2 linked regions of the Elephas maximus indicus genome follow. The protein of the gene in region 1 interacts with the protein of each later gene in a pairwise test. Links are inferred from orthologs where the notes say so. Each region holds a gene or a part of one and is shown in the gene's direction. Other genes may lie near its edges. The genes, in order: TCEA2 and KXD1.

Region 1 (15,909 bases):
TCCCCCCCGCCCCGTGTCCCGTCCCCACCGCTCACCCAGCATCTTGCTCAGAACCGCGTTGTGCAGGTCCGGGTTTTGCTGCGCCAGCCTCTTGCGCTCGTCCTTTGCCCACACCATGAAGGCGTTCATGGGCCGTCGGATGCGTGACTCGTCAGCCGCCTGGCGCTCCCCGCGGCCGGCCGGGCTGGGGCCATAGCGCCCCGTCTCGGGACTGCGCGGCGGGCTGGACGGCGCGGCAGGCGCAGCGGGGGCAGCGGCGGCGGGGGCGGGGAGGCCGCGCGGCTCAGCGACCGCCCCAGGGCCCGGGGCCCATGCACAGTCGCGGCGGGCGGGCGGTTCGTCCTGTGCGCCGTAGCCGGGCGGCGATCTCTGCATTCCAGCTGGGCGCAGCCTGGGCGGGACGAGCGCGGAGCGCGGCGGACGGGCGGCGGCCGTGGGACTGGTGGTGGCCTCGCGCCGGGCTGGCGCCCAGATATAGCGGCGCGGGGCCAATGGGCGGCGGGCGGGCGGGGCGCGGGCCGGGCCGCCCCCTCCCCGGGGGCTCCTTTCTTCTTAGCCGGATTCCGTGCGGCCTCCCTCCCGCGGCGCCCCCTCCCCCGCGCTCTCGGAGCGGGAGACCCTCGAATGGGAAAGAGCTGCAGAAGCTGCTGGGGCTCAGAGGGGGGTTCCTCTTGGGGGGCTGTAGGGCCTTCAAGCTGAGCTGTAACCGCCCCACCCACAGAGTCGCCCCGGGTGGTAGTTGGGGGAGGATGGCCATGGCTGGCTCGCTCCCGCGACCCCCTCCCCCAGGTAACTCCAGGAGGAGGGGACGTCTTATTTCAACACCAAGTTCTCCAGGACATCCTGCCACCCGCCCGTAAGTCCTCCCTAGAGTCTAACTTCAAACGTAAGAAGCACCGTCGGAAAGGCTCCAGGCTCTAGGACGGGCGCCCTCTGGGCCACCTGGGACGTTGGTTCAGGTTCTCAACCCTCCACGCACAGGTGGAACTTTAACCACTGGACTTTAGACCCCTCCTCCCCCCTAAGTCCATCGTGGGGCTAAAGGAGCAGGCAGTCCTCTGCTCCCTCCCCACGCCAGCTGATGCTGGTCTGGATGCCGGGACAGGGGAGGGAGACGGCAGATGCCCTGGACGGGGACCTGGGAGGGCATCTAGAGCCTGGGCCTCACCCTTCCCCCAGGGCCTGTTCAGAAAGGGGGAGAGGGGGGCAAGCAATGGCTGCAGCCAGAGAGAACAAGGCTTTATGGGAGTGGGGGACACCTGGCTGCCCCGTAGGTGCTGGTGAACTAAATGGTTTCCAGAGGAATATCCTGCCTCCCTGCTCCTCACTGTCCTGGTCCCACCCCATGGGGGGATTCTGGCCTCAGAGGCCAGGGGTCTCCCTGCACCCCCCAACAGTCCATCAGGTTTTGTCGGGTGAGTGGCCTTGTGGCTCTGGCCTCTCTGCCCTCCTTAACACCCTCTCGTTGCAGAGTGGGTTTTGTCAGCGCTGGCAAACAGGGGTCTTGTGCAGGTGCTGTAGCAATGGCCACTGTCCCTTGGTGGCCTTCAGGGTCCCCAACCTGAGGGCTGTGACATATCCAGCCTGTTCCTAGGTCATGTTTCACCACACTTGGTCTCAGTAACAGCCACCCATCAGCCTGAGGAGTAAAGGATGGGATTTCCAAAAGTGGTTTACAGATTTCCCCAGTTGTTCAGATTTGGCTCCTAGGCTCTAGTGCCGGGGCGGGGGGGGGGGGGGGGGGGCAGGGCACGGGTGCACAGAGGCTTAGGGTGAAGAATGGCATTTTCTGGGAGGTGCAGGGCCTGCAGGTGAGGTGGGGGACCAGGGGGCTCACTGGTCTGGTCTGGCTCTGGGTCAGGGGTGGGGGGAGGTATGTGAGGAAGACTCCAGTTGGGGGATGAGTCCCAAGGGCGAGCTGCCATGGTCTTCCCAGCACCTGTGGCTACCTCTACCTGTCGCCTTGTGTGTACCCTCTGGGTCTCCACGGTCTGGCTTAGCCTAGGGTGATGATCACTAGGCCTGGAAAGGAGCCTCCAGGGTCCCCTTTGCAGCCCTCTCCCACGTTGGGACAGATTTGCAGTTCCCTTGAGTGCTCTGCCTGGCCACCCTGCAGCCCTGAGAGCCCAGAGTTGTCAAAGCTGCTCCAGAGGCAGTGTCTGGCATTACCTCACCACAACCCCCCCCCCCCGGCCCCCAGGCTGCTTGTCTGGCGCCAGACAGTGACCCTCCCCTGGGCCAGGCTGTAGACTCAGGTGTCCGGCTGTCATGTCCTGTGAGCTGGCTGGGGTGGGGGGCCGGGCATGGCCACTGGAGAGCCCTCCCATGATGCTGCTCCGTGGGGATTGCGGGGTGGGGGAGCCCTGGCCACTGACTAGATGGGAGTGCCGCAGGGTAGGGGCTACTGCAAGGTCAACTCTGACCCTGATCCTGCAAGAGGGCCATTCACATGGGGCTGGAGGCTCTTCAGAGCTGCACAAGGCAGGTGTGGGTGTGGCCCAGCTCTGGGCTGGCTGTGCTGGGGAGGATCTGCTCTGTGTGTGTGTGTGTGTGTGTGTGTGTGTGGTGTGTGTGTGTGTGTGTCTGTTGAAGTGAACCCAGGTGCTGAGGCTGCTCCAGGCCTTAGGGGCCAGGCAGAAGCTGAACTCTGTCTCGAGGAGACCAGGGCCTGGCCTGTGGATCCTGCTTAGTGAGACCCCAGCCTCACTGCCTACCAAGGGAGGGGTCCCTGAGGCTTCTCTGACCAGGAGTGGTGGCTCCAGCTCATCCAAAGGGGGGTGATTCATGAGTTTAGGGTCATTCCTATGACCCTCAGGCTGGTCTGGCCCTGGTAGGCTGCCACTTATCTTTGTGAAAGAGCCAGTCTACAGCCCCCAGCCCCCACAGAGAAAGGTGGAGTGCGTGCGTGGGGTGTTCAGTGGATACCATCCTCTGGCCTCTGCCCACTCTCCTCCCTCAGCTTGAACCGGACTTCCAGTCTCTGGGGGAGGCTCACAGATGATGCTTGGCTGTCCCCTCTTGGTGGCTCTGGGTAGGGGCTTGGCTCTGTTCCGGGCTGGGGGTGGCGGGACCTCCCAGGCGCTGCCAGGGGCGCAGACCTCACAGGCTTGCACCATCCAGCCCCTGGCAACTGCAGAAGAAGCAAGGCTGGGACCAATTACTGAGTCCTGGGGGCCCAGAACCTCTGCTCCCAAAGTGGGGGGTCCTCTGTTGGCCAAGGCTTCAGGTGACAGGGCCCTTCTGGTCTTCTGAGACCCTGGCTTTGGAGCCACCCTGCCTCTGAGTGGTGTTGTGTCCTTGGGGTTGGCGATGGGAGGGCAGCCTCTGTCACCTAGGATACTCAGAGAGTGAAAGCCATGTGGTCCAGGCAGGATGGGGTCGTCGGGGAGGCCGCCCTGTGCCTCAGAGCCAGTTGGGCACTTGCCTGTGGCCAATGACTAGGTCAGTCACTGACCTAGTGGGTTCACCCGCCCCTGCTCTCCTGTCTCAGTCCCAGGGTGCTGGGCCTGGCCTTCCAGGAATGCCAGCCCCACTTCTGAGAAGGGGCTGGGGGCACTCCGTGCTTTCCCGAGTGGGCATGAGTGTGCAGGAGGGCGAGGGCTGTAGTGAGTGGGTGTGAGCGTGAGAGGTCACGGGTGTGAACAGGTGTGACCAGGCGTGAGTGGGCATGGGCATGGATGGGTGTGAGTGTGTGCAGGGTGGGCGTGTGTGGGCGTGAGCAAGTGTGTGTGGATCTGGATGTGTGTGTGTGAGTGGCCGCGTGTGAGCAGGTGTGAGCGTGTGGACAGTTGTGGGCATGAGCGTGTGTAAGCAGATGAGTGTGCCTGCGTGAACGCATGCATGAGCAGGCATGGGGATGAGTGCGTGTGAGTGCTCACGCTCCCCCAGCTGGAGCTCTCTAGCGTGGGGTCGGGGTCCGTGTTCCTGTGCGTGATTTGCCACAGTTAGGCGTTGGTGTGGGATTGGGTGTCGGGGTTGGTGCAAGAGGTGGCTGCTTGGCTGGTGTCTTGGGGTGTAAGTGGGGGGCCGTTGCAAGTCTAAAGAGGCCTCAGGCTGGATATATGCGGTGGCCAGGACCCTGTCTCCCCTGGGCGCTGTGGAGAGGTAGGCTGAGCAGGTGTGGGGTGGTGGGGACAGAAGGCTTGCCCACTCTGTGCTGCTGGGTCAGGTCACACGCAGTGGAGGGGCTGCTCTGTCTTTGTGGGTGCTGCAGATGCCCACAGGACTGGGGCATTGCTTAGGGACTGTTAGGCAGACTGTGTTGCACTGTGGGGTATGGGCTGTAGGATGAAGTTGGGGTGCCTCAGGGGTTCTTGCATATCTGCAGGGTGCTGAGGTGCCTGTGAGCTTGGGGGCTATTGTGCAACCCTTAGGGGTGTGTTGTGTGGCTGCGGTGTGTCCTCAGGGTGTCCGCATGCTGTGTGGGCCTCCTGGCTGCTCAGTGGGGGCTCCATGGGAACCAGGCAAGGGGACTGCCCCTCTTGGTTCCCATGGCAATGGCAGGGCGGGGCCAGGAAACACCAGCTCAGGAAGGAAGGCCGGCTGAGGGAGCCTGGGCTGAGCAGGCGCCAGACTCTGTCCGGTGGCCTGGCCAGTCCCCTCCTGTCCAGCCCGCTCCTGTCCAGTGTATCTCTGGCCATACCGCTACCCCCTCCGAGCCACACCACTTGGTGCCCCAGCCTATGGCCGAGTGCCCTGGGTCCTGCAGTGCATGTCCAGCCCCTATTTGGCTCTGTGTGCCCCTGCTGGACTGGCCTTTCCCTCCCCACCTGAACTCTCCGTGACACTTGCTGTCCAGGGGCCCTGAATCATCCCTGGGGTGGCTGCCAGCTCCTCTGGGAATCAGGGAGAGAGGGAGCCAGGGTGGGAGTGGGAGTAGAGCACCCCCAGCACCCCGTTCCACCTCCCCCCAGCCCTGCAGGGTGGGAGGCCTGAAGCCATGTGTTTCTTAGCTGCTTGTCCTGGTTTGGCAACCAAGCTGTCTCGGAGGGGCAGGACTCTGTTCTCAGGGATCATCCAACCTGGGTAACCCCACCCCTCTTGCTCATGGGCAGGGTTGGCTCATTCGTTCATTCATTCATTCACTCCTCCCTCAGCCCCCAATCTGTAGCAGGCGGTCCTGGGGGCTGAGGATTTGGCAGTGAACAGACCCTGACCATGGGCAGAGACAATCAGCAAATCCACAAGACAGAAAGAGTATGGGGTGCCAGGTGGAGACATGTTATGGAGAACAGTGATGCTGGTGAAGGGAACGGGGTGTCCTGGTGTTCACTGCCTGCCCTTCGATGAGCTGACGCCTGAAGGAAGCACGTGGAGGAGGGAGACCTACAGATTCGTGGGGAGGCATGTTTTAGGCTGAGGGGGCCAGTGTGCGGGGACCAGGGAGGTCTTTCTTTTCCCCCAAAGGAGATGTGGGGCCTTGGGAGGGTTTGAGCAGAGAAGGGGTATCATTTCACTCAGTTTTCCAAGGCCTCTCACACTGAGGCTGGAGCCCAGTGTGCCCAGTGAGCCTGGGCCTGCTGCCCGCCTGTGGGTCGAACCCACATACTTCTCCCACAGCCTGAGCCTCCCCACCCCCGCTGCTGCCCAGGGCCTCTGGGGAGGGTGGAGTGGCCGCCAGGCTGGCGGGCTGGCAGGCTGGAGGGCGGTGTTTCTGGGAATTGTGTGGGGGGAAGCGCATTGTTAAAGCAGTGCCTGAAGCAGGCAGCCGTGCTGGCCTCTGGGGGATGCCCTGCACCCCCACCCCACGCTGCCTCTTGGGGAGGGAGCGGGGCCTGGGCCAAGGCTGTGGGCTGGGACTTTCCGAGAGACACTACCTTGGGTGGGCAGCCCTTCCCATTCCACCGACTGGAAGACTGAGGCCCACAGAGCAGGCTGTCAGTGATGGACACAGCCAGGAGCACCTGGGCAGGGGGACCGAAGGGAGGCCTAGGTGGGATTGGCTGGTATCATGGCCCCTCAGAAACCCCACAGTAGGGAAGGTCTGGTGGATTGGGGTGCTCAGGAGGGGGTGGCAAGGGGTGGGTGTGGGCTCCGGGCTGTGAGGCTGTGACTAGCCTAGGGCAGTGCCCCCCATGGCCATGGGAAGTGGGGGGTCCGTGTGAGCTCAGCGGCCCCAGCCTTCCCACCACCGCCCCGCCCAGCCAGAAGGGAAGCTCAATGCCTGTCTGCTGGGGTCATGGCCGGCCTGGGCGGCCTGGGCGGGAGGGGGTGGGGGACACAAATAGAAAAATAATGGCCTGGGCTTCCGATGTCTCACGTGGCTGAGATGGGAGGGGCTGCAGGACTGGTGGGAAGGAGCAGTTCTTTGGGCCAAAGTGCAGCTGTCTGCAGCCTCGACCCCCACTCAGGTGTGTCTGCCTCCTGGGCTCCCCTGACAGTGCCGTAGTCCCCAGACGAGGTTTCCTGAGAGCTGTTCTTTGAGTCTCCGTGAACCTCACTGGAGCTGCCTGTGGGAGATAAAGCAGGAGGGCTCCCTGGAGGAGGGAGCTCTGAGGCTGGGAGAGGCAGAGGCTGATGCTCATGCACAGATGGACGCATAGCAGTCCCCCGCCTGGCACCCTTTTCCTTTGGCCGCACCTCTCTGCCCATTTATGCCTCAGCCCCTGCCTTCTCCTCCCACCCACACCCAGCCCTGCATGGGCCAACGCTGTGGCCTAGCCTCCACCCCCTCCCTGCCAGCCCTGCAGGGGCTTCATTACATCAGCAGGGGGAAACCTGGAGAGGGGCCAACCCAGAAGGTGGTGAAGCTGGTGAAGCTGGGCTGTTGCTGCCTCACCCTCCAGAAAGTCTGTCCCCATTGGTCAGAGTGGCCGGCCCTGCTTTGTTTGTTTAAGGGTGACTAACTGTCTGAACTAAAGCTCCAAAAGGCTTGGCTCCCTGGATCTCCCCAGACTCTGGGGGGCAACACATGTCAGAGATGTGGAACATGTTAACTGGGTTTTGAAGATTGAGCAGGAGTTTGCCTGGGAGGTCTGGAGGTGAAGGGTACGAGCAGAGACCAGAGGTGTGGACACACCAGGAGTGGAGGGCTGGGGTCAGAAGGGCCAGTACTGTGAGTAGTCTGGGGAGCTCCAGTGAGGAGGGGCCTGGGGCAGGATGTGCTCTGGGAGGGACGGGAGACTGGGCTCTGTTGCCCCTCCTGCTGGAGCCTACCACAGCCCCTTAGAGGCCCCACCGTGTGTGGACTGGCATGGTTGGCTCACCACTGCCATCTAGAGGCTGCTGCTCCACATTCCCCCCATACCGTCTCCGCAGTCCCTCCTGCAGGGGCTGGGGAGTCTCAGGACCTCCAGCTGGGACACCAGCTCCATCCATGACCTCGAGTCAGCTCGGCCCCACCTGTGTCCCCTGTGTCCCCAAGGCTACAGGAGCGCCCTCGTGGTTCCTGCACGAGGGCAGCCCGGGAGCTGGTCTGAGGTCCTCTGGCCAGCTCTCTGGTCTGGCCAGTCACAGGCCATTGAGAAGGTTGTTGAAGGATGTGGCTCCAGCCTCCCCCGGTGCCTCTGAGGTCGCACACATGCTCAGACCATGGCATTCAGGCCACATTGGGCCACAAGGACCTACTGGGCTGGGCTGGGCTTAGAGCTATGGTCTGTTTTCCTTTTCGCTTTGGCTGCTGTGAAGCTTATTCATATCTCGTTAATGTCAGCCAAGGCTGTTTGGGCCTCACACCTCCACGTGGCCTCAGGGTCCAGTGCCCTTGGCCTGAACCCTCCCTCTGAACCACACCCCCTCCAACAAACCACCCAGCATGGGCATCGCTCAGGAGGTGGAATGGGTGGGGCGCTGTCCTTCCCCGGCCTAGCCAGTCCCTCCTGTGAGTGCAGGCTGGTCCTTCAGGGGATCTGCCCTCCAGCAGCAACTTAACAATGACTGGGATTGCTTGTGCCGCATTCAGGCCCGGTTCTCAGTGGTGACGTGAATCAACTCGCATCCACCTGACAGCAGCCCTGTGAGGTGATGCGGTCACCCCATTTACAGACGGGGAGACTGAGGCACAGAGCACCCACTGCCTTGCTTGGGGCGTCTCGAGGGGCAGCGCTGGGGTTGCCAGCCCCAGCGGTGCCCCCGCCTCCGGCGCCTTCCCACCCCAGCCCAGGCCCCTTCCAGACCCCATATTGCTACTGCTGCTCACGCCCCTCCGGCGCCGACGCGAGGCCTCGTGGCGAGCGCGGAGAAGTTGGGGATACTTCGAGCAGAGACCCTGCTGCAGCCCGACCCAGGCGAGAGGGGCCTGACGCTCTGCGGCGCCCCCTGCCGGCGGTCCCTACCCGCGGCCCTCATCGCGGGGGCTGTTGGACTGCGAGTTGCCTGGCCTCACAGGTTCCTGGCGGCGGCCGGCATTGGGACTACATTTCCCAGCAGGCCGCGCGCACGCGCAGGGCCAGCTGGGAGTTGTGGTCCAGGAGGGGCGCTCACGCGCGGGACGAGCGCGCGCAGAGACTACGCAACCCAGGGTGCAACGCGGGGGCCGCGGGAGTCGGGGTTTGAGCCGAGGGTCTCGGCAGCGGTGGCTGCGGCGGACTGCGGCGGACTGCGGCGGGTTGCCGGGGCGGCGGGGGTTGTCTCCGAAGCCGGCGGCGGGCTGGCGCGGCGGGCGCTGGGGCGCGCCCCGGGGCGGTGATGGGCAAAGAGGAGGAGATTGCGCGGATCGCCCGGAGGCTGGACAAGATGGTGACCAAGAAGAGCGTGGTGAGGGTCGCGGGCCGCCAGGGCCCCGGGACCCCCGTCCCGCCGAACCCCGGCCAAGCCCCGGTCCCGGGCCGGGAGACCCTTGGAGGGCAGGCAGGACGAGCCCCCGCCCCGGCACAGACTCCTGGGACACGGGAAGACCCTCGCCCAGGGCCGAGACCCCTGCCCGGGCCGGCCGTTTACTCGTCCCCGCGCCCCGGCAGAGGCCGCTGTCCGGGCGGACCCGGCCTCAGAACCACCGCCCTGGACTGAGACCCTCCGCGGGGCTGAGCCCCTCCCTCCCCGCCCCCCGCAGACCGGGTTCCGCCCGCGGCTTCAGACCCGGGGCCCGGCTGCAGGAGACCTTCCTCGGCTGCCCTCGCCCGGGCCTCTCGAAGAACACCCCCCGCCCCCCTTGTTAGCCGACCGCCGCGCCCCCCGCCTTCCTCCTTTCCAGCCACCTTTCCGGAGCGCCAGCCCCCGGCCCTGTGCCCTCTGCCTACCCCAGCCCTCCCCCCACCTTTCTCAGGACGCAGAATTTGGCATCTCCACCCCCTCCCCGCCCCTTCCCCCAGTGCAGCCCCGTGCCCCAGTGCTGCCCCTCCGTCCTCTTCACAAACAACAGAAGCGTTTCCGGCTGCCCTTTTTGTCCCCACTGCCCCACTCCACAAAGTCCAGTTACTCCAGTAAATTCTCCCGTCCTTAGCCAGGACTCAGCCCGCAGCGACTGGGGTGGATGGATGTATAGAGCCCCTTAGGAAACCCCATAGGATTCTGTAAGAGCTGGGAGGTGGAAACTTGCTGGCCGAGCCCCAGATGCCGAGTGGCTTGGCCCTCTGTCTTCCTGTCCAGCAGCCACTGTGTGCCCTGGGAGGCTGTGTGCCGTGGTCTCTAGGAGAGGCCAGCCCCCCCCCCCAGCTTTGTGACCTTGGCAACCTTCAAAGAGTCCTTGGTGGAGATCTGCCCTGTCAGGAGGCTGTGCGGGGCCTGCCAGCTGGGGGCAGCAGGCAACCGGCCAGTGGATTCCAGCTCAGCGACCCTGTAGGACAGAGTAGAACTGCCCCATAGGATTTCTAAGGTTGTAAATCGTTATGGAAGTAGACTGCCACATTTTTCTCCCACAAAGCAGCTGGTGGGTTTGAACTGCGGGCTTTTCAGTTAGCAACTGAGCACTTAACCACTGTACCACCAGGGCTGCTAGTAGGCAGCCAGGGCTCAATAAACCTTCAAGAGACCTGCTCTCTCCCCTCTAGAGTGGATGCCCTGTGGGGCAAGACCACTGGCTGGGAGTCGGCTCAGGGGCTGGGTGGCCATCCCAAGCCTCACAATGGCCATGGGGTTTGGGGTGGTTTTTTGGGTCTCTGGTGACTGTGACTCTGGACTGGGGTCTGTGGCCCCCCATTTAGGAAGAGGCTGCTTCTCATTCATTCATTCATTCAGCAAGCATTCAGGCTCTATGGTGTTCACACCCCAGGAAGCTGTGGGCAGGCATAGTAAGGGTATGGGCCAGTCTCCTAGGCCTTTGCAGAGATGACCAAAGGTGGAATAAAGGCGCTCACTTGGGGGTGGGGGTGTTGTGGTGGGAGGGCAGGCTGGGGCCTGGCAGAGCTGGGGAGGCTGTGTGTCCAGGTGGAGGCACAATAGAAACCCTGGGGTGGGGATGAAAAGAAAGAGGGAGATTGTGCCCAAGGCAGCAGGCAGAGCCATCTGTCCCTTCTGAGAGGTCCCAGTGTACAGACCAAGGGGTGAGGCCTGCCTGATGGGATGAGGAGGGGGCTGCAGCCTAAGCAGAGACACCACCTTCTTTGGGGGGGGGTGTGCCAGGCCTGGCCCTGTGCAGGGCACCTGGGCTGCAGGATGTTGTTAGCTCTCACACCTTGGGTGATGGGTCATTCATCCCTTATCTTGCAGGGAGACACACGTGGAGATTCACTGGTGCAGTAGAGCTCTGTCTGTAGAGGAGGGTGGGGGTCACATGGATGTGGGTGCAGTTTTCAGTAGGAAAGGCCTCACTGAGGAGGTGCTGTGTGAGTGGACCTTTGGAGGGAAAGGCGGCAGAGGGCTGGCAGTGGAGCAGCTGTGCAAGGGCCCTGAGGCTGCCTGGGGCACTTGGGGGACAGTGGGGGGCGCTGTGCCCAGGGTTTGGTCAGGGATAAGGTCAAGGGGGAGACCACTGGGGGCAGTTGTGTGGTCTAGGCATGAGGGAGGGGCAGGGTCTGATCCTGGGGTGACATGAGGAGGTGAGGACCGCTGGTGATGAGAAGGCGGGCCTGGGACTGGCTGATGTCGCCGTGGAGAGGGGCTGGGTGCCACTGAGTGTGGCCATGGTGCTGTTTGAGTAGGGGGTGCACCTGCTTTCCGTACACTTTGGGTGAGGCTGCCTGTTTCCAGGGAATGGGGACAGGTGGTAGGCAAAGATCTGGGACCTGCACAGGGTTTGGGGCTGGCCCACTGGCTGCAGCTCTGGGTGATGTGGTCTTGGGGAGGTTGGGAAGTCACAGGACCCGGGCTACAGTGCTGCAGCCCCAGGTGGAGGCCTGGTAGCACCTCCAGATTGTCAGTCTCTGGCATGCAGGAGGAGGGGTGAGGTCCCACAGACCTTACACCGAGGTTGTTGAGCTGAGGTCCCTCTTACCCCAGGAAGGAGCGATGGACCTGCTTCGGGAGCTGAAGGCCATGCCGGTCACACTGCACCTGCTGCAGGTCAGTCACTAGGTCCAGGACGGGGGTGGGGGGCGGTGTGTGTACATGGTGGGCGGGGGGGGCACTGAGAACAGAGGGGGTGTCCACTCCCGTGGGGGTTCCCATGCTGACACCTCTGCCCCACCTCCCCCAGTCCACCCGCATCGGGATGTCGGTCAATGCGCTTCGGAAGCAGAGCTCGGATGAAGAGGTCATCGCACTGGCCAAGTCGCTCATTAAGTCCTGGAAGAAGCTCCTGGGTGCGGTCAGGCCCTGGGGGGCTTGGGCAGGTGGGGGGGGGCAGGAAGATGAGCACTTGAGGGACTGGCCAAGTCAGGAGGCCACTCAGAGGAGGATGAAGGAGGTGGCTGGCTGGAGTGTGGACACCACCTTGCAGGGAGGGGATGGAGGGAGGGCAGCCTGGGCAGGGATCACTAGGCTGGCCAGACACCACTTCCTGGGAACAGTGGGATGACTGGGGGTTGCAGAGATGCCCCCCACCCAGGACAGGGAGTCCCCCTCTGGACCTGAGAGGCCCCTCTGGGCCTGTGTGTGTGGCCGTTGGGTTTTCTGTGGGGCAAGCGTGTATTCTGCTGGTGTGGGGGGAAAGGGGTCCCAGCCCTGGCACAGGCCCAGGGCCACGGCTGTGGGTTCAAGAGGGGCCTTGGTTAGGAGTTGCTCACACACGTCTTCCTGGTCCAGCTCAGGCACACTGGTCATACTGAGGGCTGGCCTCCTTGGACCCACTGCTGCTGCAACTGCTGGATCCCCACACCTTGGGATCACTCTGGGCAGTGGGCTGGCCCCAGGAGGCAGCATGGGGGGCATCTGCAGAAGGGGCATTGCAGGGGTGGTATGGAATACAGAGGTGGGGGAGGCGGGGGAGAGGGCGTTTTAGCAGGAAGGCCAGCAGCCCCAAAGCCCCTTGCAGTCCCCATAGCTCCTCAGTAGCCCCTGGCAGCTCCCCAGCTGTGGGTGTGACCTTCTGGGGACAAGGGTGCTGTATGGCTGGGCCCACCCTGTGGCGGCCATCTGTATGCCTCCCTCGGCCGGGCCCAGCCCTCCTGGGCTGCCTTGCCAAGCCCCTTCCCACTGTTATCTGGCAACTGCAGATGCTTCAGACGCCAAAGCTGGGGAGCGGAGGAGCACGTCCCTGGCCTCACTGCCATCGAAGGACACCTCCGAGGGAAAGGCCCACAGGTGCGCTTGAGGGGCAGGTACAGGTGTGTGCTATCCCAGCTTAGCCCCCCAGAGAAGCGGTGCTCACACTCCTACCCTGAGGGTGCTGCTCTGTGAGGGGGTGGCTTTGCACCCCTTCCAATGCTCCTTGGGCTGGCATCGCTGGGTTGAGTCCTGCCCATGACTCTGGACTTGGTGTGTCTACTTTGGCGTCGGCGAGCTGCTCCCTGCCCAGTGTGGGGCAGCTCAAGAGTCTGGAGCCAGCAGCAAGGCACGGGGTGGGTGGTGTGGAGAGGCAAGACAGGAGCAGGCAGAGCGGGTGTGTGTGCTGAGTGGTGAGGGGCCAGGTGGAGAAGCCAGACAGAGGCTGTGTAGGGAATTGGGTCGGGGGGGGTCTGTGGAGGGGGCCGGGCAGGTGCCAGAAGAGGGGTGGGGAGAGGCCTGGACCTAGCTGCTGCTGAGCATCGCACCCTTCTGAACACCTATGTGTATTGTTTTTCCTTGCGAAGTCCTCCTGCTCCCATTGGCATCCCATGGGGCCTCTGGGTCGTGGGACACTGGGTTGTGGGGGGAGGGCTGGGTGGCTGTAGCCTGGCTGTTGGGCTGCCACGTGGGGGCCTAGCCCTGTGAGGAGGTATCCTTACTGGTTTTATACCTGGCAGGGGTGACCCAAGAACTGGCCTTGGGTGAGCCGAGCCTGTCTCCACCAAGGCGGATGGGCATCTTGCCGTGGTGGTGGCTGCTGTCAGGGTACCCAGGGGTGGCTGTGTCCAGGGTCTCCCTGACAGTGGGTGGAGCTGTGGATGGCTTCTGGCACCCTGGCCTCTGGTCCTGTCTGCACTGTTATGGTGCACTTGGGCCCGTGTCTGAGCCCCATAGGCCGTCCCTCTCCAGCCGCAAGAGGCCGGAGCTGCCCAGGACACCATCGACCCCTCGGATGACCACATTTCCCCCAGTACCCATCACCTGTGATGCTGTGCGCAACAAGTGCCGAGAGATGTTGGCTGCTGCCCTGCAGACAGACCGTGAGTTCCCACCAGCCACACCCAGGTCCGCCCAGTCCCTGATCCTTGCTCTGGCTCTGGACACAAGCTCCAAAGGGTCCGTGAAGGACAGCCCTGCCCCTTCCCCAGCCCAGTGCTGCCCACTTGGGGCAGGTGGGGTCTTTGGGACACAGTGGTGTGTCCCTTCCTGCTGCCCCGGGGTGTTGGGTGGGTGGAGGGCCAGTGGGCGTGGTTGGTCAGGGCTGCCTCTTGCAGATGACCACGTGGCCATCGGCGCAGACTGTGAGCATTTGTCGGCCCAAATAGAGGAATATATCCTTCCTGCAGGCATGCCGCCTGGCACCTGTGAGGACTGGGGCCTGCTGGGGCTGGCTCCCCCTGGTGGCCGCTGGTAGGCACCGCCGGCCGCCCTGTGCCCTAGGCAGGGCGGCCACCTCCTTCCTGGGCGCGTCAGGGTCTCAGTGCGGAATGGTCCAGTGGAGTCCCCTGCCTGCTGCCAGGCCAGGGTGGGTGACTCTGCTCCAAAGGGCTTGTCCTAACTGCCAGGTAGAGCACGGTGGCTCCTCATCCTAGCCCAGCCCCTTATGGGGAAGGGGTGTCCATGGAGGACCCCAACCCAGTTGGAGTTCCCTGTGGGGAGGGGATGCCCATGGAGAACCCCAGCCCAGTGCAGCCCCTCTTGGGAGGCCCACGGGTCCTTAGCAGCTGCACGCATCTTCCGGGACGTGGGGAGCACAGACGTCAAGTACAAGAACCGCGTTCGGAGCCGCATCTCCAACCTGAAGGATGCCAAGAACCCGGGGCTACGACGGAGCGTGCTGTGTGGCACCATTGCGCCCCAGCGCATTGCCGAGATGACCTCGGAGGTGAGCTACTGGGCCTGGGGCAGGGGGCTGCTTTGAGGGCCTGTCCCTGACTGGCGTCCCTCCAGGAGATGGCCAGCGATGAGCTGAAGGAGATCCGTAAGGCCATGACCAGAGAGGCCATCCGTGAGCACCAGATGGCCCGAGCAAGTGGCACCCACACTGACCTCTTCACCTGTGGCAGGTGCAAGAGGAAGAGCTGCACCTACACCCAGGTGGGCCTCCTCCCATATACTAGTCTCTTCACCTGAGGCAGGTGTAGAAAAGAGCTTCACTGACACCGGGTGTGTCCCCTGCCTGCAAGCCAGCTTCTCCTGAGGCCTGGCCCCAGTCAGCAGCATTCTTGGTGGTGGGGTCCACTACCTGGCACTCAGGTTGGGGACCCTGTCCAGCCCAACAGGGGTGCCCTGAAGAGTGGGGTGTGGTGAGTGGATGCCAAGGTGCTCTGAGGGGGCGGTATGGATGTCAGGAGGTGTAGGGACTCCAGAAGGTGTCCAGGTGAGGGGATGGGGGTTGGCAGATGGAGTTTTTGGGAGGCCATGGGAACCAAGCCACCCCATTCCCCTGTGGCACCTGGGCCCACCCGCCCTGCTGGTCCCATTGGTCTGTAAGCCATGCAAGCTTCCAGATGACACAGGACAAGAGCCAGGCACAGCCCCCTCAATCCTGGGGTGCCCGCCTCAGCGGTTGGTGTTTCCTACCCCACGAGATGGTCTTCCTGCGGCCCTGGCCGGTCGGGTCTCCCTGAGAAACAGCCCCACGGCCTGGGCCCTTCTCACCACAGTCCCACACAGGTGCAAACCCGAAGCTCTGATGAGCCCATGACCACCTTCGTTGTCTGCAACGAGTGTGGAAACCGCTGGAAGGTAGGTTGAGCTCTGGCTTTGGGTGGGCAGGTCCTGGGGAGTCTGAGCTGGGTGACTGTGCCTCTCACCCCAGCATCAGGTATGGGCAAGAGCATGGGCTGGGCCGAGACCTCAGCCATGGCCTCATGCCCGACTCCTCACAGTTCTGCTGAAGCTATGCATGAGCCTGCAGCCTCTGCTGCCCTCCCCACCTGTCGACTCGGCTTCCCTGGAGACCCAGTGCTGCCCCCGCCATCCCCAAACAACCTACCCTCGCCCTATCCTGCCTGGCGTGCACTTCTCCCCTTTGTCCCAAATTATTAAACGTTTCTTTTTGCCATCCTGATGTCCTTGGCCCTCAGTTTGGGTGGGCTGCCCCCATTCTCCATGTCTAGTCTGTCTCTGCTGCTGTGGACAGCCCTCCCAGTCTGGGGCCAGCTGACATGGGGCCCTATGGGCAGTGGGTATCACGGAAGGTCAGCTGGCCCCAGAAGGATTGAGGGCCTGGGCGTAGAGGTGGGTGTGGCATCCCATGAGCCTGTGTGTATGTGTGCACATGTCTTCAGGTGAAGTGAAGGAACGGGAGATGGGTGTACTCAGGGATGTGCGTGTGTGTATATGATGGGCCTGCCGAGCTGGGTGTGTGGGCTGGCGGAGCAGGGG
Region 2 (15,930 bases), on another chromosome or scaffold:
GGCACAGTTCTACCCTGACGCACACGGAGTCACCAAGAGTCGGAATCGACTCAAGGGCAACTGGCTTATATTACATTCCCTTCTAATACTAAAAAAAATACTAGTACTCGATAATATTAGCTAGTGCTATTTTTAGAAATAGGACTATTATCAATAGCTGTGGTGATGTTTCTCACAACCCTATTTTATCAGCTTCAAGATAACCCCGTTTTGTATTAGTGTTTGTATTACATATAAAACGTTATAACACAGGCCCTCCAATGGCACAAATGGTTAAGCTCTTGATTAGTAGCCAAAAGGTTGTTGGTTTGAACCCATCCAGAGGCACCTTGGAAGACAGGCCTGGCCATCTGCTTCTCAAAGGTCACAGCCTTAAAAACTCTAGGGAGCAAAGTTCTACTCTGCACACACAGAGTGACTATGAGTTGCGGTCAACTCAACGGCAACAACAATCTGCTGTGCGTTACAGATGTACAGCTAGTACTGCTAATATTGTTGGCAGGTGTGATGCCGTGTGTTGTCACTTATGCGGTGTTAGTATGACTGAGTGTACCGCCCTCAGCACTAGCAGGAACACCTCCTCCACCTGGACACTAACGTTCTTCTAAAGTCCTGGGTGGCTGGGACAGGGCACTAGGGGTCAAGGGGGCCATGTGTGGGTTCAGGGGCTTCTTTCCTACAGGACTTCTCTGTAGAGCACTGAGAAATGCTGTGAGCATCTGCCAGAAAGCTTGAAAAAATGGGACATTCCTCACATCAGCCTGACCTCAGGATGCATTTTTTGGGGAATGCCCTTAGCAGGAAGTAGCTGAGAAGATGCACTAGGGGCTGGTGACACCAGGATGCCACTCTGTGGCCCCGGCCAGCAAAGGGAACAGGGACACAGTACCTCATGGAAGGTTTAGGGGCGTGACAACAAGCAGGTCACAATCACTGTGGTTACCGCTGACCCTCACAGCAGAGGCGAGAAAATGAGGCTCAGAGGGCAACGAGTCTGGGTCAAGGTCACTTCTGAACCTCAGCTGTCCGGGTCACCTGCTCCTTACCCAGGATATCCAGCCACTCGTCCGGGGCTGGGGCTGGGGCGGGCTCAGGCTCCATGGCTGCCAGGAACTCTCGGGCCAGGGCCCCGGGCTGCTCCAGCTCTTCCGGCGGAGTCTGCCCCATGTCCTCCAGTGGTGGCAGCTCACTCAGGTCATCCTCCTCCTCCTCTTCTTCCTCCTCCTCCTCCTCCACGTCCTCGACTCCATCCAGCACCTCAAAGTCCTCCAGTGGTGGGACCCTGGCAGGCAGCGGGGTGGCGGGCTCAGGGCCCACGGCAGAGGGCTCGGCACAGGATGCCATGCTGTTGGGGGGAGGGGACGGGCTAAGAACCCCACCCGGTCCCGCCCATTTTCCCCTCCACCTCACACTCTGCAAAGTAACTTGAGGCCTCAGTTTCAACTATACAATGGGTATTACAACTACACTGGCTTGTTGCAAGGATTTAACAAACTCTGGCCATGTAGCTCAAACAGTGTCACCATTACTAGAACTAATTATTACTTACTGTAAATGCCCTAGTAGAGGGGTGACCACCCTCCCCCCCAAACACACATTTCCCAAAAAAGGGAACTGAAGCCCAGAGAGGTAAAGCCATTTGCTCAAGGTCACAGAGCAAGCCAGCAGGGGTGGGATTTGAACCTCGGGCTCCAGAGCCCTGGGATTTTGTATGATTAAATCCCAAAAAAGGGTTCTGGGATTTTCTTTGAGAGTCAACTAGGAGGCCTTTGGAGGCTATTTTTAGAGCTCCAATACAGAAGAACAATCTCTCCCAGAACTCCCTGCCTGCTGCTGCCCCTTTTCCTAAGGAGGAGCCCCCGGCCCACAAACTCACCTCCAGCCCTGTGACCCTCCAGAAACCCCAAGCCCTTTCCTTCCAGACTCTGAAGCTTATAGGGCACCCTCCCACACCAGGGACCCTTGGCCCTGCACCTGCCCTGGGGGCCTTTTCCTCTCCCCAGGTCTCTTGACCCCTATAACAGCAGGCCCCTTTGCAGGACTGCTGGAGATACCCCCACATTTTATGCCCCTTCCTTGTCCCAGGCCTGTTGGGAGCCCCCCAGCCCTGGACGTGACATCACGAACCACCCAAAGCCTCAAGACCCTACGAACCTCAGGAGGTGGGGGCCGTCGTCTTAACTCACGGCACTTCCCCCTCCATCCTTCACCTGTCCTCTCCTGTTGGGCTTGGGCTCCCTTTCGGAGACCCTCCGAGACCCTATCCCCACAATCCCCTGCGCCGGCACAAATCGGCCTCCCCCGCTCCAACTACCGCCCCCGGCCTGGGCCAGGCCCCCCAAGCCGCTCCCTCCCCCATAAACACCCGATGTCCCCAGACGCCCCCCTCCTGGCCCCATAGGCCCCCACACCCTCCACACACCACCCGCCCAGGCCTAGCCCGTGTCAACTCCCCAGCAAGACCCCCAACGCCCCCTGCCCGTCTAACGCCACCAGTCGGGGGCCCCGACCCCCGCACCACTGGGGAGTCCCGGCCCTGCGCTTCTCTGCTGGCAGACCCCCACAGCTTCCCGTACCCCCAGTCCCTCCGCCCCCGCCCGGCCGAGCTCCCTCGGCACCCGACCCCCGCGCGCCCCCGGTCCGCCTCCCTCGCCCCGCCCATCGCCCGTGGCCCCTGCCGCGCCGGCCCGGCTCGGCCAAGGCCTCGACAGCGCCCCAGTCCGGCGCGACCCCGCCGGCACCCCTGGACACGTGCCTCCAGCTCCGGGACCCCCTCCTGGGGTCCTGCGCCCCCCTCCCCGCCCCCAGCCGCCGCCGCCGCCGCCGCCGCGCCTCGGGAACTAGGCTCGGGCCCTGGCCCCGCCCCCCAGCATGCCCATTGGCAGCAGCAGCCGTGACCGCCACCTCCATTGGTCCGAACACCCGTCCATCTAGGCGCAGGCACCGCCCCCTTCCTGCTTGGGTCCGCGGGGCGCTCTTAAAGGGGCCGCGGCTCCCGGGCGCCCCAGGGGGCGGGGGTGGGGCGGTGGAGGTGGACTCGGGGAGCTGATTGGACGCGGGAGGGCGTCTGAGATGCGGGTCGGCGCAGCACAACCTGGGGGGACTCCCTGCTCCCGGCCAAGCGTCATCCTGCCTATCTGCGAAATGGGGATAAACATCCTTATCCATGCAGCTCACCAAGGATCTGCCGGGAGGATTGTGCTACTTGGTGTTTCCTACAAGAGCTGAGGCTGCAGTGTCAGAGCAGCTCTGAGGCTGCTGGATAGGCCACCTGGGAACCTTTGTCACAGCTGTGCCTGAGGGGGACCGTTGTGGCCCCCGGTTTTGTCTATCTAACCCCCAGAAGATTGCCTGGGGCATACAGTAGGTGCTCAGTAACTACCAGGTTGATGACCCTGCAGGGCCGCTGGAAGTTCTTCCTCTGCGCACCCTGCTGAGCCACTGCAAGAGGGTGATAAGGTGCCCCAGGGCCCTGAAGAAGGTGGCAGCCTCGATTAGATGTGTTTCTGGATTTTGTTTTCAAAGAATAGGGATGGGGGGCACTTAATTCCACTCTTGCTCTGTTTTATTTCCTTAGCAGCAGTTATCCTCGTCTGGAATGATCTTGTTCATCCCATGGGAGGGATTTTTTTGCCTGATTTGTGTCCAGTACTGTCTAGAAGGATGCCTGTCACGTATGGGCACTCAAGAAATTCTCGTTGAATAAATGAATGAATTGGACACTAGCTACTGGAGGTAACTAACATCTCAGATCCAAGCTCCAGTGTCACCTCTTCCAGGAAGCCCTCTGCGACCTTCCCAAAGCAATGTCATGTGCCCTGTTTCACTGCTCTTCTGGCACAATGAACCTCCACTTCATATTTATTTTTGTGACATGATTTGATTAACCTCTGCCTCACCCACTAGACTGGGATACCCCAAAGTCTAGGAATGGTCTGTTGTTTCTCATTGTTTTAACTCTGAGGCCTACACAGGGCCTGGCAACAGGCAAGGGGGTGTGGGAGGGACTCAGGAAAATTGTTGTGGAAGGAAGGAAAGAAAGTAAGAAGGCAGGCAGTTCAGCCAGGAGGGCTGGTGGGACATTGGGAGTATGTGAGAAAGAACTAGGGAAGGGACATCATATAAAATGAGGGCCAGTCCCACTTCTAAGGGACTTGGACAATTTCCTATCTCTGAACCCCAGTGTTCTAGGCATTGGAGAAATCATGGACAACAATAATAAACAATAAACGAAAATATAACAAAATAACACCAACACCAAAAAAGTAATCATGATAGTAATGGCAGACTCACATTTGCAGGCACTGCTGCACACCTTCCAAGTACTGAATCCCCATGTTGACCAATAAGCAAATAGACCATGTCATCTTCCTGGTGAATCGAACCTTTTATTATTTTTATGACGTGAATCTCTTTATCTCAGTTCTTCCTGCCTCAGAGTGGACTTTGGCTGTTAACATTGCATACTTGTTTTCTTTTGGTTTGTATTTTAAATGTTCCATCCTTTGCAACCCTTCTAGCTTCTACTTTTCCATATCCTTAAATTGTATACTTGTGTTTTGTGAGCAGCATGCAGTTGGGTTTTGCTTTTGGATCCAGTCTGCCAATCTTTGTCCTTTAACTGGGACATTTGGTCTACTTACATTTAATGTAATCATGGACCTCTTTGGGCTTAAATCTGCCTTCTTGTTATATCTTTTTGCTCTATGCCCCTTTTTTCTCTTCTTCCTTGCCTTCCTTTGGATTCATTTTGGATACGTTTGGTGAGATTACTTTTTTTTATTGTGGTGAATATATAGGTAACACAACGTTTGCCATTTCTACAATCTTCACATGTACAGTTTCGTGACATTAGTCATGTTCTTCACTATTAACTGTCCTTGATAAGACTCTTATTATTCTCATTTTATAGATAGAGAAACTGAGCCACAGAGAGGTTAATTACTTTGTTCAAGGTCACATCCAGGAGAGAATGATGAGCCAGATCCCTTCGCGCATTGAACTTCCATTGCAGCCAGGGAGCCAGGTATTGCATGATGATGATGCAGATAAGAGTTGAATTGCAGGTGTGACAAATTCTATGGAAGAAATAAACTAGGAAAAGAAGCAGAGAAGGGATTCTACTCCCCATACCTGGACCTCCTGCTTTCTCCTGAACCAGAATAAGTCATATATGGTGGCTGGGATGAGGTTCCATTCCTGAGGGACAAAGCTTCTAAAAGATTGACTGCTTTGGGGCACAGAGATTCTAGTGAGGGTCTTGGAGAGAAAGTTCATCTTCCACTTAAACCAACTCAGGTCTTCCCCTCCTTTCACATTCCCCCCCAGCAATGTCCGCATCACTGGGCAGCTGTCAGCAGGTTGAACGTTCCCATGACTTCTCACGCTGTCCCTTCAACACACAGAGGAAAATATGTTCTTATCCCCACTCCACTGTGCACAAAACATTTGGGGATGGCCAAGCCCCTTTTAGCCTTGCTGTGCAGCCCCCACCCCTCCCAAGACCTTCATAAATATTTCCCGGCCTCCAGCAGAGCCCAAAGGACCCATTGAGAAACTTCCTTTCTCCAGCCTGGGCCTCTTTTCCTGCAGCCTGCAGACAGAGCCATGGTTCAGCTCTGACTCCCCCCTCTCAGCACTGGTTTTGCTGGACTCATTCAACCCCCCAGTTCTTACAAAGATCAAATTCACACAACGTGTTTTCCCATCATCCTGCCTTTGCTCCTGCAGTTCCCTCTGCCTGGAATGACTGGTTGTCTCCTAGAAAACTCCTAATCCTACTTCAAAACCCCATCCAAATGTTTCTACCTCCTTGCAACCTTCCTTGACTGCCAAATGAGTCTTCACGTCACACTCTTCAGGCTCCTCCAGCCTTGAGTCCTGCTCACTCCCAGCGCAGTAGTGATCCCCACAGGGCTGGGGGTGTCTGTGTCTACCTCTGTCTCCCTTCCTCCTCTAGGGCTAGGCAGGAATAGAGTGCTCTCTGGATCCCCAACATATGGCCCAAACCCAGAGGAAGCAATGGGAGGGCTTAATCAACAAATTTCAAAACGGTTTGTTGAACTAAATCTATAAAAATACTGGTCCTCATTGACTTTTCAACAAACGATGCAGTGGAGTGTGGGAGTAATAATATTACCTACCATTTACTGAAAGGAGCCTTAGTGGCACAGTGGTTAACATGCTTGACTGTTAACCATAAAGGTCAACAGTTTGAACCCACCAGCCACCTCACAGGAGAAAAACCTGGTGCTCTGCTTCCATAAAAATTTCACCCTAGGAAACCCTATGGGGCAGTTCTACTCTGTACTATAGGGTCACTATAAGTCAAAATCGACTTGACGGCACACACAACAACAAACCATTTTTGAGGATTTATGGCATGCCAACCCTTATGGTGAGTACTTCACCTGCATGATTGCATAACAGTCCTCCCTCCAAGGCTAGTACAATGATTATCCCCACTTTATGAACGAGGACGTCGAGCTTTGGGGACTGTCTTAGTCATCTACTGCTACTATAACAGAAATACCACAAGTGGATGGCTTTACCAAAGCCAAGTAGTAGGCTAGTAAGCTACAAGTCCAAATTCAGGGCGTCTGCTCCATGGGAAGGCTTTCTCTGTGGACTCTGGAGGAAGGTGCGTGTCATCAATCTTTCCTTGGTCTAGGAGCTTCTCTGCAAAGGAACCTCGGTCCAAAGGATGTGCTCTGCTCCTGGCACTGCTTTCTTGGTGGGATGAGGTTCCCAACTCTCTGCTTGCTTTCCTTTCCTTTTATCTCTTGTAAGATAAAAGGTGGTGTAGGCCACACCCCAGGGAAACTCCCTTTACATTGGATCAGGCATGTGACCTTAGCAGGGGTGTTACAATCCCACTCTAATCCTTAACATAAAATTACAATCACAAAATGGAGAACAACCACACAACACTGAGAATCAAGGCCTAACCAAAGTGCCACATATTTTGGGGGAACACAGTTTAAACCATGACAGGGAGGTTAAGCCACTAGCCCAAACCCATCCAGCTTGAATGTGACAGAATTGGAATGAGAACTCTGTCCCATTTCAGGGATTTTACAGTCTTCCATGTACCTGAGGACTTATATACGTATCTCCCAAGCTCTCGACACCCTTTAGAGGTAGATACCATGATCACTACAACTTACAGTTAAAAAACTGATACAGTGATTACATGCATAATGTATAACATATGCACACCAGAGGATCTCAATAACTAATAATGAGTTATTAACATTTCTTGAACAATTACTATTTGCCCCATTTGGTTCACGCATCTAACCTGGTGTCATGAATTGAATTATGTCCCCCCAAAAATGTGTGTATTGACTTGGTTAGGCCATGATTCCCAGTATTCTGTGGTTATCTTCCATTTTGTGATTGTAATTTTATGTTAAAGAAGATTAGGGTGGGATTGTAACACCACCCTTACCCAAATCACCACCCCAGATCCAAGGTAAAGGGCGTTTCCCTGGGGTGGGGCCTGTACCACCTTTTATCTCTCAGGTTTCGGTGGTGCTTCCTGACTAACAGGCTAGTAAGAGAGACCCGGCAATCTACTTCTGAAAATTAGCCAATGAAAACCTTATAAATCACAACTGAATATTGTTCATTGTAGTGCTGAAACACAAGCCTTCTAGGTTGGAGGACACTCAAGATATGTAGCAGATACAACAATGGACTTGAGCATACCAGCAATCATGAAGATGGCACAGGACCAGGTAATGTTTCATTCTATTGTACATGGGATTGCTATGAGTCAAAGCCAACTCCACAGCAGCTAACAACAACATACAGCTATTATCTCCTACCTCTCACTGCAGAGAGGGCCTAGAAACAGTGACATCCCAGTAGCAATGAGCACATCCAGCATCCAGAACTTGGTTTCTAAATACCATTCGTACAGAAATGGAACCAGGCTCGAGGACAAATGGCTGGTTCAAGGATTGTGCCAGAACCTAGAACATCTTGTGGCGCCAGAAAGCAAGGAAATGCTCAGAGAATGATGGGTTTGTGTCAAAAGGATGCAGAAACAGCACTGAATAATTATGTGCTATTATCCATTTAAAAAAACTTTTTTATTATCCATGGAATAAAATAACAGTGAGTTTATAGTGATATAAATAATTGCATCAATAAATACGTGGAGAATGAACAGTAGAATTCTAATGAATTACCAAATCAATAACTAGAAAGATCGCAATTAGGCAAATACCCCACTAATAATTGTGGCCACAAGGACCATGGAGAGGTGCTAAAATTTGCAGGTGAAAATACGACAAACAGGGTATTTGCATGGTCTCTAAGTATCTTTCCATAAGATACCTATTATTTGTAAAGAAAAACATAATAACTTCACAGTAAAGAAATGGAGAGACAATGCCTTAAATAGCAATCTAAAAAATCTTGAGAAGGACACAGCATCACTTGTGTGGGATTTCTGCCAAAGATGTACCATCAATCTAATCACGAGGAAACACGGGACAAACTGATGTTGAGGGACATTCTACAAAACTGAGCAGTACTCTTCACAAGTATTAATATCACAAAAGATGAGGAGAGACTGAAGAACTGCATGGGCTGGAGGAGATTAAAAAGACACAACAACTAAATCCCAAGAAAGCTCTTGACTGGGTTCCTGCACTTGCAAAAGGTCTCCAAAGGTGGAGCAGGGATTTTGGAACCCAGGTGACGCTAATTCTTAGTCTGGAAAGCAGGGTACCAGGGTCTGGGTGTATCTAAGGCCACTGGAACATTGTATGGCCTCAAGGCAGTACTTGCTGCTTTTCAGAACCAGGGCTTCCAAACGGTTCTTCCAGGTTAAGTCATGGCTGATGAAGAGAAACTGAACCAGATCCAAATTTTTAGAATTTGGGTGAACCAGAATGATACCCAGAATGGTAAAAATTACAGGTTGAAGCCCTGCTGGAAACTTAATCTCCCTCTTAAAAAGCAGGAGCAGCATACACGTTGCGTAGCAACCGAATCTCTTGACGCTGGGATTTTGAGCATAGCCAGAAACAGCACTGCCCAGCTCAAAGATGGCAGCCAACCATGCTGTTTTGAATGTGTCACTCTCCACCAAACACACTGCCTTTGAATTGATTCTGACTCATAGTGACCCCGTAGGATTTCCAAGGCTGTAAATCTCTACTGAAGCAGACTGCCACATCTTTCTCCCCAGGTGCCACTGATGGTTACGAACCACCAACCTTATGGTTAGCAGTTGGTCGCTTTAACCACTTCGCCACCAGAGCTCCTGTCGCTCTCCACAATTCTGCCGATAATTCAGTCTTAAGCATGAGGCACCTAAAACGGCTCACTATGCCTCTTCCAAGTCTCTCATTACAGGATTTCGAAATTGTAAACATACATATCTACTCAGAGTTCGTCTGCCATGACTGAACCCATTCGAAGCCCTGATAGAGATTCAGCCTACCAATCCATAAAATGGAGGAAGTGTCTCTCACGTTTCCCCACTTCCGGGCTTCCTCGGAGCGCAGCGCAGGCACAAATAGGATTATTTGATTGGCTATTTATTCGGACGCACCGGTGAAAGGGGGTGGCTGCGTCTAAGCCCCGCCCTTCCGGTTGCACCTCCTCACACGCACGCACGCACGCACGGAGTCCAAGTTCACGTCACTGCCTTGCGCGCTCGCACGCACGGTGCGTGGTGTCGTCGCGGCGGCGCGGACGCCATCCCGGAAGCGAGAGCAAGACCGCCAGATGTGCAGGTGCCGCCACAGCCGCCGCTGGACCGAGGCTGGGGTGGGGACGGGGGCTCCGGGGCGTCGAGGAAGCTGGGTCTGGTCGGGCGCGGCCCTCGGGCTGCCGCGGGGTGGGGCGCGCCGCTGGCCACATCAGGACCCCCCTCCTGCGTGCACAGGCCTCAGTTTCCTTGTCTGCGCAGTGGGTGCGCGAGTGACGCCGCAGGACGGATCCCGATCCGAGGAGCGGAAGCTGGGGCCGTTTCTGTTCAGGTTGTGCTTTGTCACCTGAAGCCAGGAGTTGCCGGGCTTTCGCCCAAGTTTTCCTGCTTTGTAGTGGGGGGCGAGGGATGTGCGAACCTCGTCCGACTCGAGGGTTGTCCTGAGATCGGGTCGCGAAGTCCGGGCGCTTTTGCTCCAAGACTTGGGTGGAGTCGCGGCGCCTTGACATGTGACCTTGGGCAAGATACCGAGGTTTCCCTTAGGCACAATATTCCCTGCCTCATAGAAGTGATCGAGAATTATATGCAACGCCGTACAAATGTTTGCTCGTATTCTTGGCACTTGGCGGGGGAGCACTCGTTAAAATACCAGCTTGTGGGCCCCGCCCCAGGACGTCTCCAAAACCCCGCTGGAGAATCAGCATCCTCTGACCCCTCTCTAATCTCCATTGTCCCCAGTCTTCACAGACAGCGATCAGACAGCGATGTGACACCCTCACTCATCATTATTCTCGTTTTCTGGGTGAGAAAACAGAGAGGTGAGGTGACTTGCCCAAGGTCACACAAACTTTCCAATGCCGGTTTCTCCCATCCATAATATGTTTAGAGCAGGGAAGGGAGGAGAGAGATCCCCTGCTGGGTTTTTTTCTGCTCCGCTAGTCAGAGAGGACTTCCTAAGACAGGCAGCTGGAGAGGGGCATGAACTCCTCAGGCCTCACACGTGGGAGCCAGAGACAGGCAAAAGTCCTGCTTTGAAGTGGACCATTTCCTGCAGCACCTGTGTCTGCCAAGTGCTAGCTGTGGGCCTCCTACCATGTTACCCTGCTCTTTAAGCCCAAATGCCGTCTTCATACCATGGGTCACCATGCTTCCTTGGAAATACTGAGACCACAGGTGTTCACGCCTGGTGCAGTAGGAGCTCAAAAAACAGCAATTATTGGAAGAGGGGAGGGCTTTGACAGCTGCGGCAGTTGCTCCTGGAAGGCATAAAACCAAAAAGAAAAAGGAAAAACCAAACCTGTTGCTATGGAGTTGATTCAGACTCTTGGTAACCCTGTATATGTTACAGAGTAAAACTGAGCTTCATAGGTTTTTCAATGGTTGTCATCTTTAGGGCAGCAGATTACCAGGCCTTTCTTCCATGGCACTGCTGGGTAGGTTCTAACTGCCAACCTTTGAGTTCGTAGTCGAACACGAACCTTTTGCACCTCCCAGGGACCTTCCTGGAAAGTGTACAGGGATGCAAATTGGTAGCCAGGTTCAGGATACCAGTAGCTACTCTTTGGCCTCCAGCATATTTTGGGGGAAAAAACCAAACTGGTTGCTAGCATTTGTAAATGAGGCAATTTCACGTGAAAAAAAAAATCTCGATTTCTGTTTCTACTTGGAAAAAAAAATCAGAAGTCTGTGAGAAATCAGCTGCTGTAAGAAGCAACTGCTCCTCCATGGACAGATACTGAGCACTTGCTCAGATTCACCCCTTTGTGGAACCTGCAGACCTTGGGCATTTGAGTTTGTGACTCAGTCTCTCTGAACCTCAGTTTTCTCATCTGTAAATAAGGATGATAGCAGTTTCCAGTGTGTGAGCTTGGTGCTGTGCTTGGTATACAGCAGCTGTTCAGGAAATGGGAGTGTGGGTTAAGTAGGCTCTGAAGGCCCTTCATGATCCTGTGTGTGGATCTTGTTAGCTGTTGTTGAGTTGGCTCCAACTCATGGTGACTTCATGCACAACACAACAAAATGCCGCCCAGTCCTGCACCATCTCAATGATCAGTTACAGTAAGACCCTTGTGATCCATAGGGTTTTCACTGGCTGATTTTTGGATGTCAATTGCCAGGCCTTTCTTCCTAGTCTGTCTTAGTCAGGTAACCTAAAAAAAAAAAAGGCAAGCCCGTTGCTGTCAAGTTGATTCTGACTAATCGTAGCCCCAAGTGACAGAGTAGAACTGCTTCATAGGGTTTTCTTGGCTGTAATCTTTATAGAAGCAGATTGCCAGGGTTTTCTTCTATGGTGCTACTGGGTAGTAGTGAAACGCCAACCATTAGGTTAGTAGTCAAGTGCAAACCATTTGCACCATCCAGGGACTTTATCTTAAGTCTGGCAGCTACACTGAAATACGTTCAGCATCATAGCAACATGCAACCCACCACTGGCAGACAGGTGGTAGCTGCTCATGAGGTGAATTGGCTGGGAATCAAACCCAGGTCTCTCACATGGAAGGCGAAGGTTCTATTCTACCACTGAAACATCACTGCCTCACCTGTAGACTTCTGGTGAAATGAGTTCTTTTGTGTGGCCTTTTGCCTTGGTTCTTGGAAAAATAGCTTGAGAGCTTTTTCCTAAGGCTCGAGGAGTTACCTTTGCCCTAGTTTTCTTCCCCAGAGGGTTTGTTAATTTTGTCCAGGTTGATGGACATTTCCCAAACTTGACTTATAAACAACTTGACTTTTTGTTTTGGCCCTGGGCTGTAGCCTGCCCTGTAATTAGTGTGCACCTTGCAGGGATTGGTCAGTATATTTACAGAGAAGAAGTGTTTACGGTTTGTGGTCTACCAGGAGGGGATTGGTCAGTTCATGGCTCTGGTGGGAGGGCCATACTTTGAAATTGACCAGGAGTTTGCTTATATGTGCAGACAATTCCACAAAGGTTGGCAGACAGAAAGAAGGAAGAAGTGGAAAGGAGAAAAGGCAAGAAGAGAGAAGCAGCAGAGAGAGAAAGGAGGTGAGGGACCTCCTCAAAGAGCTGTAACACAGGTCAAGGGCTGTGTTAAGTGACAGGCCTGAAAGGGGCCCTGAGCCAGGGCCAGGGCTTTGAACTGGTTCAAACCAGTTCATTAGTGGCTGGTGAAGTGAAACTGGCACAGACCCAAATTTTTAAAATTTTGGTGCTGCAGAACAAGAAAAATTATGAATTGAAGCCCCGGAGTGGGAGACTCAGAAGAGGTGTAGTGAGCCCTTTCAGGAGCCTGATGCATGAGTTTGGATTATTGGTAGGAATGTGGAGAGCGACATACATTCAGAGTGGTGTGGCTGGCTGCCATCTTGAGCCGGACACAGCTATTTCCATCTCTGCTCAAAATCCTACCAGGCAAGAGATTGGTTGCTATGCAACACGTATGCAGCCCTTGTTTCCTAAGAGGGAGATTAGATGTCCAGGAGGGTTTGACCTGTAATTTTACCGATTCTGGTTACCATTCTGGAGCACTTAGTTTTAAAAATTTGGATCTGTGCCAGTTCCATTTCATCAGCCATGACTGAATCAGGAAGAACCTGTTTGAAGCCCTGGGCAGAGCTGGTGGTATCAGGCCTAGAAGGGGCCCTGTGGCAGTTGTTGGTGATGGCGGGGAGGCTGAAGGCAGAGAGGCCTATGCTCAGGGGGCTGAGAGGAGGCCTGTCTTCAGGGGACTGAGAGGGGCTGTGCACAGCAGAGAGAAGAGCCTGCTTGCTTGCATGGCCAAGAGGAGCTGAGAGAGCGGTCCTGCACTGAAGAAGGGAGAGATGTGCTCTCCACTTCTGGGGAGCCCTCCAGACTTTGCCTATGTGCTTCCTGATCCTGAGTTGTACCCTGTTACTTCCTTAATAAACCACTTAAGTGTAATCGTGGTATATGAGTTCTCTCTGGCCATTGCTATGGATTATCGAACCCAGTAGAGACATAGAGGGTGCCATGGGAGGGATGGCTGGTGACAGAATTGGTAAAAAGGTTGGAGAGTATTGGTATGTCTAATCTCCACACAGTAGGGATCAAATTTGGGCCGGTTCTGATGGTAATTCTCATCATTCCTACTTGTGAAGTTAGGCAGGTTCAGAGACTACTGCTAGACCATTTTTACAGGATCGTAACCAATTGCAAATGGATTCTTCTGTCAGCCGTTAACTGCGTGGGCCCCAGAGCTAAGCTGTGCTGGAATTCCAGGTTTTTCCTGCACTGGGGGGACAGTATTGAAGCTGGGGTCCTGCCTGACCTGGTCTGGAAGCCGTTGCCTGCCAGGATGGTCATCTTTGAGCCCGGGAAGCTGGAAGCTGCAGAGCCATCTGGTGTACCCACAGCCTGGCTGCGAGTGCCTGAAATTCTTGGCTTTAATTTTCTGATAAAAGTCTATCGTCAGATCTGATCTGAAAGATTCTCTTTGCGCCCGCAAAAACCAAGTTCTGTCAACCTCTGTGAGCCCGGTTCTGGGCAGGGGACTGGAGACTGAGCAACGTGCCTCTATTCTCGTGGAGCTGACAGTGTGGTGAGGGCGGCAGACGCGCAGGTCACCTGATAGCTAAGACAGTTCTGGAATAGATGGGCCAAAGGAAAGATTAGAACAAGATGACTTGGTGGGAGTAACCAGGTGGGGAGTAGTCATTGAAGACTCCTCGGGGAGAGGAGACGTGGGGGGTGAGTGATGATGTGAGGAGGGCGCTGGGGATGGCTCACAGAATGAGTAAAGGTGGGTGTATGAGTCTTCAGTGGCTGCTGTAACAAAGTAACACAAACTGGGCCAGGAGTTCAAAATCAAGGTGTCCACGGGTCTGTGCTCTCATTGAAACCTCTAGGAAAGGAACTGCCTTTTAGCTTCTGGTGTTCTAGCAATCCTTGGTGTTCCTTGGCTTGTACCTGCATCACTCCAGTCTCTGCCTCCGTTGTCACATGGCCTTCTCACCGTGTCTGTGTCACTTCTCTTCTTAGGAGGACAACAACCAGATTGGATTTAGGGCTCTTTCTAATGACCTCAATGGGGCAGTGATGGTTCAGTGGTAGAATTCTCACCTTCCACATGGTTCAATTTTTGGCTGGTGCACCTCATGCATAGCCACTACCTGTCTGTCCTTGGAGGCTCGTGTTTTGCTCGGATGCTGAACAGGTTTCAGGGGAGCTTCCAGACTAAGATGGACTAGGAGGAAAGGCCTGGCGATTGACTTCCAAAAATCAGGCAATTAAAACTCTGTGGATCACATCAATATCTGCAGCCGATCATGGGATGCTGAGGGATGGGGCAGTGGTTTGTTCCATTGTGCAGGGCATCTCCATGAGTCGGGGGCCGACTTGACAGCACCTAACAGCTAATGATTTCATCTAAACTTGATTTTATCCACAAGACCATATTTCCAAACAAGGTCACGTTCACAGGTACCAGGCCTTAGAATGTGGACATACCTCTTTTGGGGGGGGCAAAGGTAACCCGTAAAAGTGGGAATGAGTGAAGGCAAGTAAAACCAGGGAGGAGGCCTGCTGAGGTGGGAGGGATCATGGGATTCTGATGTGTTTGGGCTTGACTGGTGGATTCTCTTTGAACTTGTACTGTGCACCAGGCATGGGTGTTAAGCGTTTCACAAACTTGACCTCCTTCAGCTCTCCTCCCACCAAAAAAAAAGAAAAATCAAACCACTTGCAGTTGAGTCAGCATTGACTCATGGCCACCCCATGTGTGTCAAAATAGAACTGTGCTCCATACAGTTTTCAATGACTGAGTTTTTGGAAGTAGATTGCCAGGCCTTTCTTCTGAGGTGCCTCTGGGTGGACCTGAATCTCCAGCTTTTCAGTGAGCAGCCGTGAGCTTAACTGTTTGCACCACCCAGGGACACCTCAGCTCTCCCAATGCCTCCAAATTCCTGAAGTGCTGTCCCAGAGGTTCAGGTGGGTGACTGCTCCCGGCCCTTTTGTCCTGCCTCCACCATGCCTGGGGCTGATGGTGGCCTCTATCTTCTTACCCGTTGCAGGCTGTGGAGGAGGAAGAAGAGATGGATGCCCCAGACTCGGCCTCAGGGGTCTTCTGCAGCCGCGTCTTGAGTATGGTGAATGCAGATGATGTCAATGCCATCATCCTGGCCCAGAAGAACATGTGAGTGGGAGGAGCTGCCTGCTGGCCAGCTTGCCCACCCTGCCCACTCTGCCCCAGCTCACTTGGGCAATAAAATGAAGGAAATGAGCGAATCGCCCTGCTGGCTCCAAAGCACATTCCTCCCTGGCCTGGGGGCGAGTCTTTGGCACAGGAAGC

What was found.
Region 2: the proteins of TCEA2 (region 1) and KXD1 interact in binary tests that used the Homo sapiens proteins (3 or more experiments, as listed by UniProt). The two-hybrid records come from large-scale screens. The link is inferred for Elephas maximus indicus from reciprocal best matches to the Homo sapiens genes TCEA2 and KXD1.

Annotation. Positions count from the first base shown.
Region 1 is NC_064843.1:4,072,565-4,088,473, reverse strand, and holds TCEA2 (transcription elongation factor A protein 2), read left to right. Parts: upstream 1-8,440; 5' UTR 8,441-8,625; coding exon 8,626-8,694; intron 8,695-9,219; exon of another isoform or gene 9,220-9,751; intron 9,752-11,313; coding exon 11,314-11,376; intron 11,377-11,509; coding exon 11,510-11,615; intron 11,616-12,467; coding exon 12,468-12,555; intron 12,556-13,413; coding exon 13,414-13,850; intron 13,851-14,249; coding exon 14,250-14,404; intron 14,405-14,469; coding exon 14,470-14,616; intron 14,617-15,185; exon of another isoform or gene 15,186-15,195; coding exon 15,196-15,267; intron 15,268-15,410; coding exon 15,411-15,419; 3' UTR 15,420-15,770; downstream 15,771-15,909. Other genes in the region: SOX18 (transcription factor SOX-18), read right to left, coding at 36-375. UniProt on the Homo sapiens protein: Necessary for efficient RNA polymerase II transcription elongation past template-encoded arresting sites.
Region 2 is NC_064821.1:38,487,246-38,503,175, forward strand, and holds the start of KXD1 (kxDL motif-containing protein 1), read left to right. Parts: upstream 1-9,699; 5' UTR 9,700-9,744; coding exon 9,745-9,786; intron 9,787-9,812; exon of another isoform or gene 9,813-9,998; intron 9,999-15,652; coding exon 15,653-15,774; intron 15,775-15,930. Other genes in the region: peptidyl-prolyl cis-trans isomerase FKBP8, read right to left, coding at 1,047-1,344.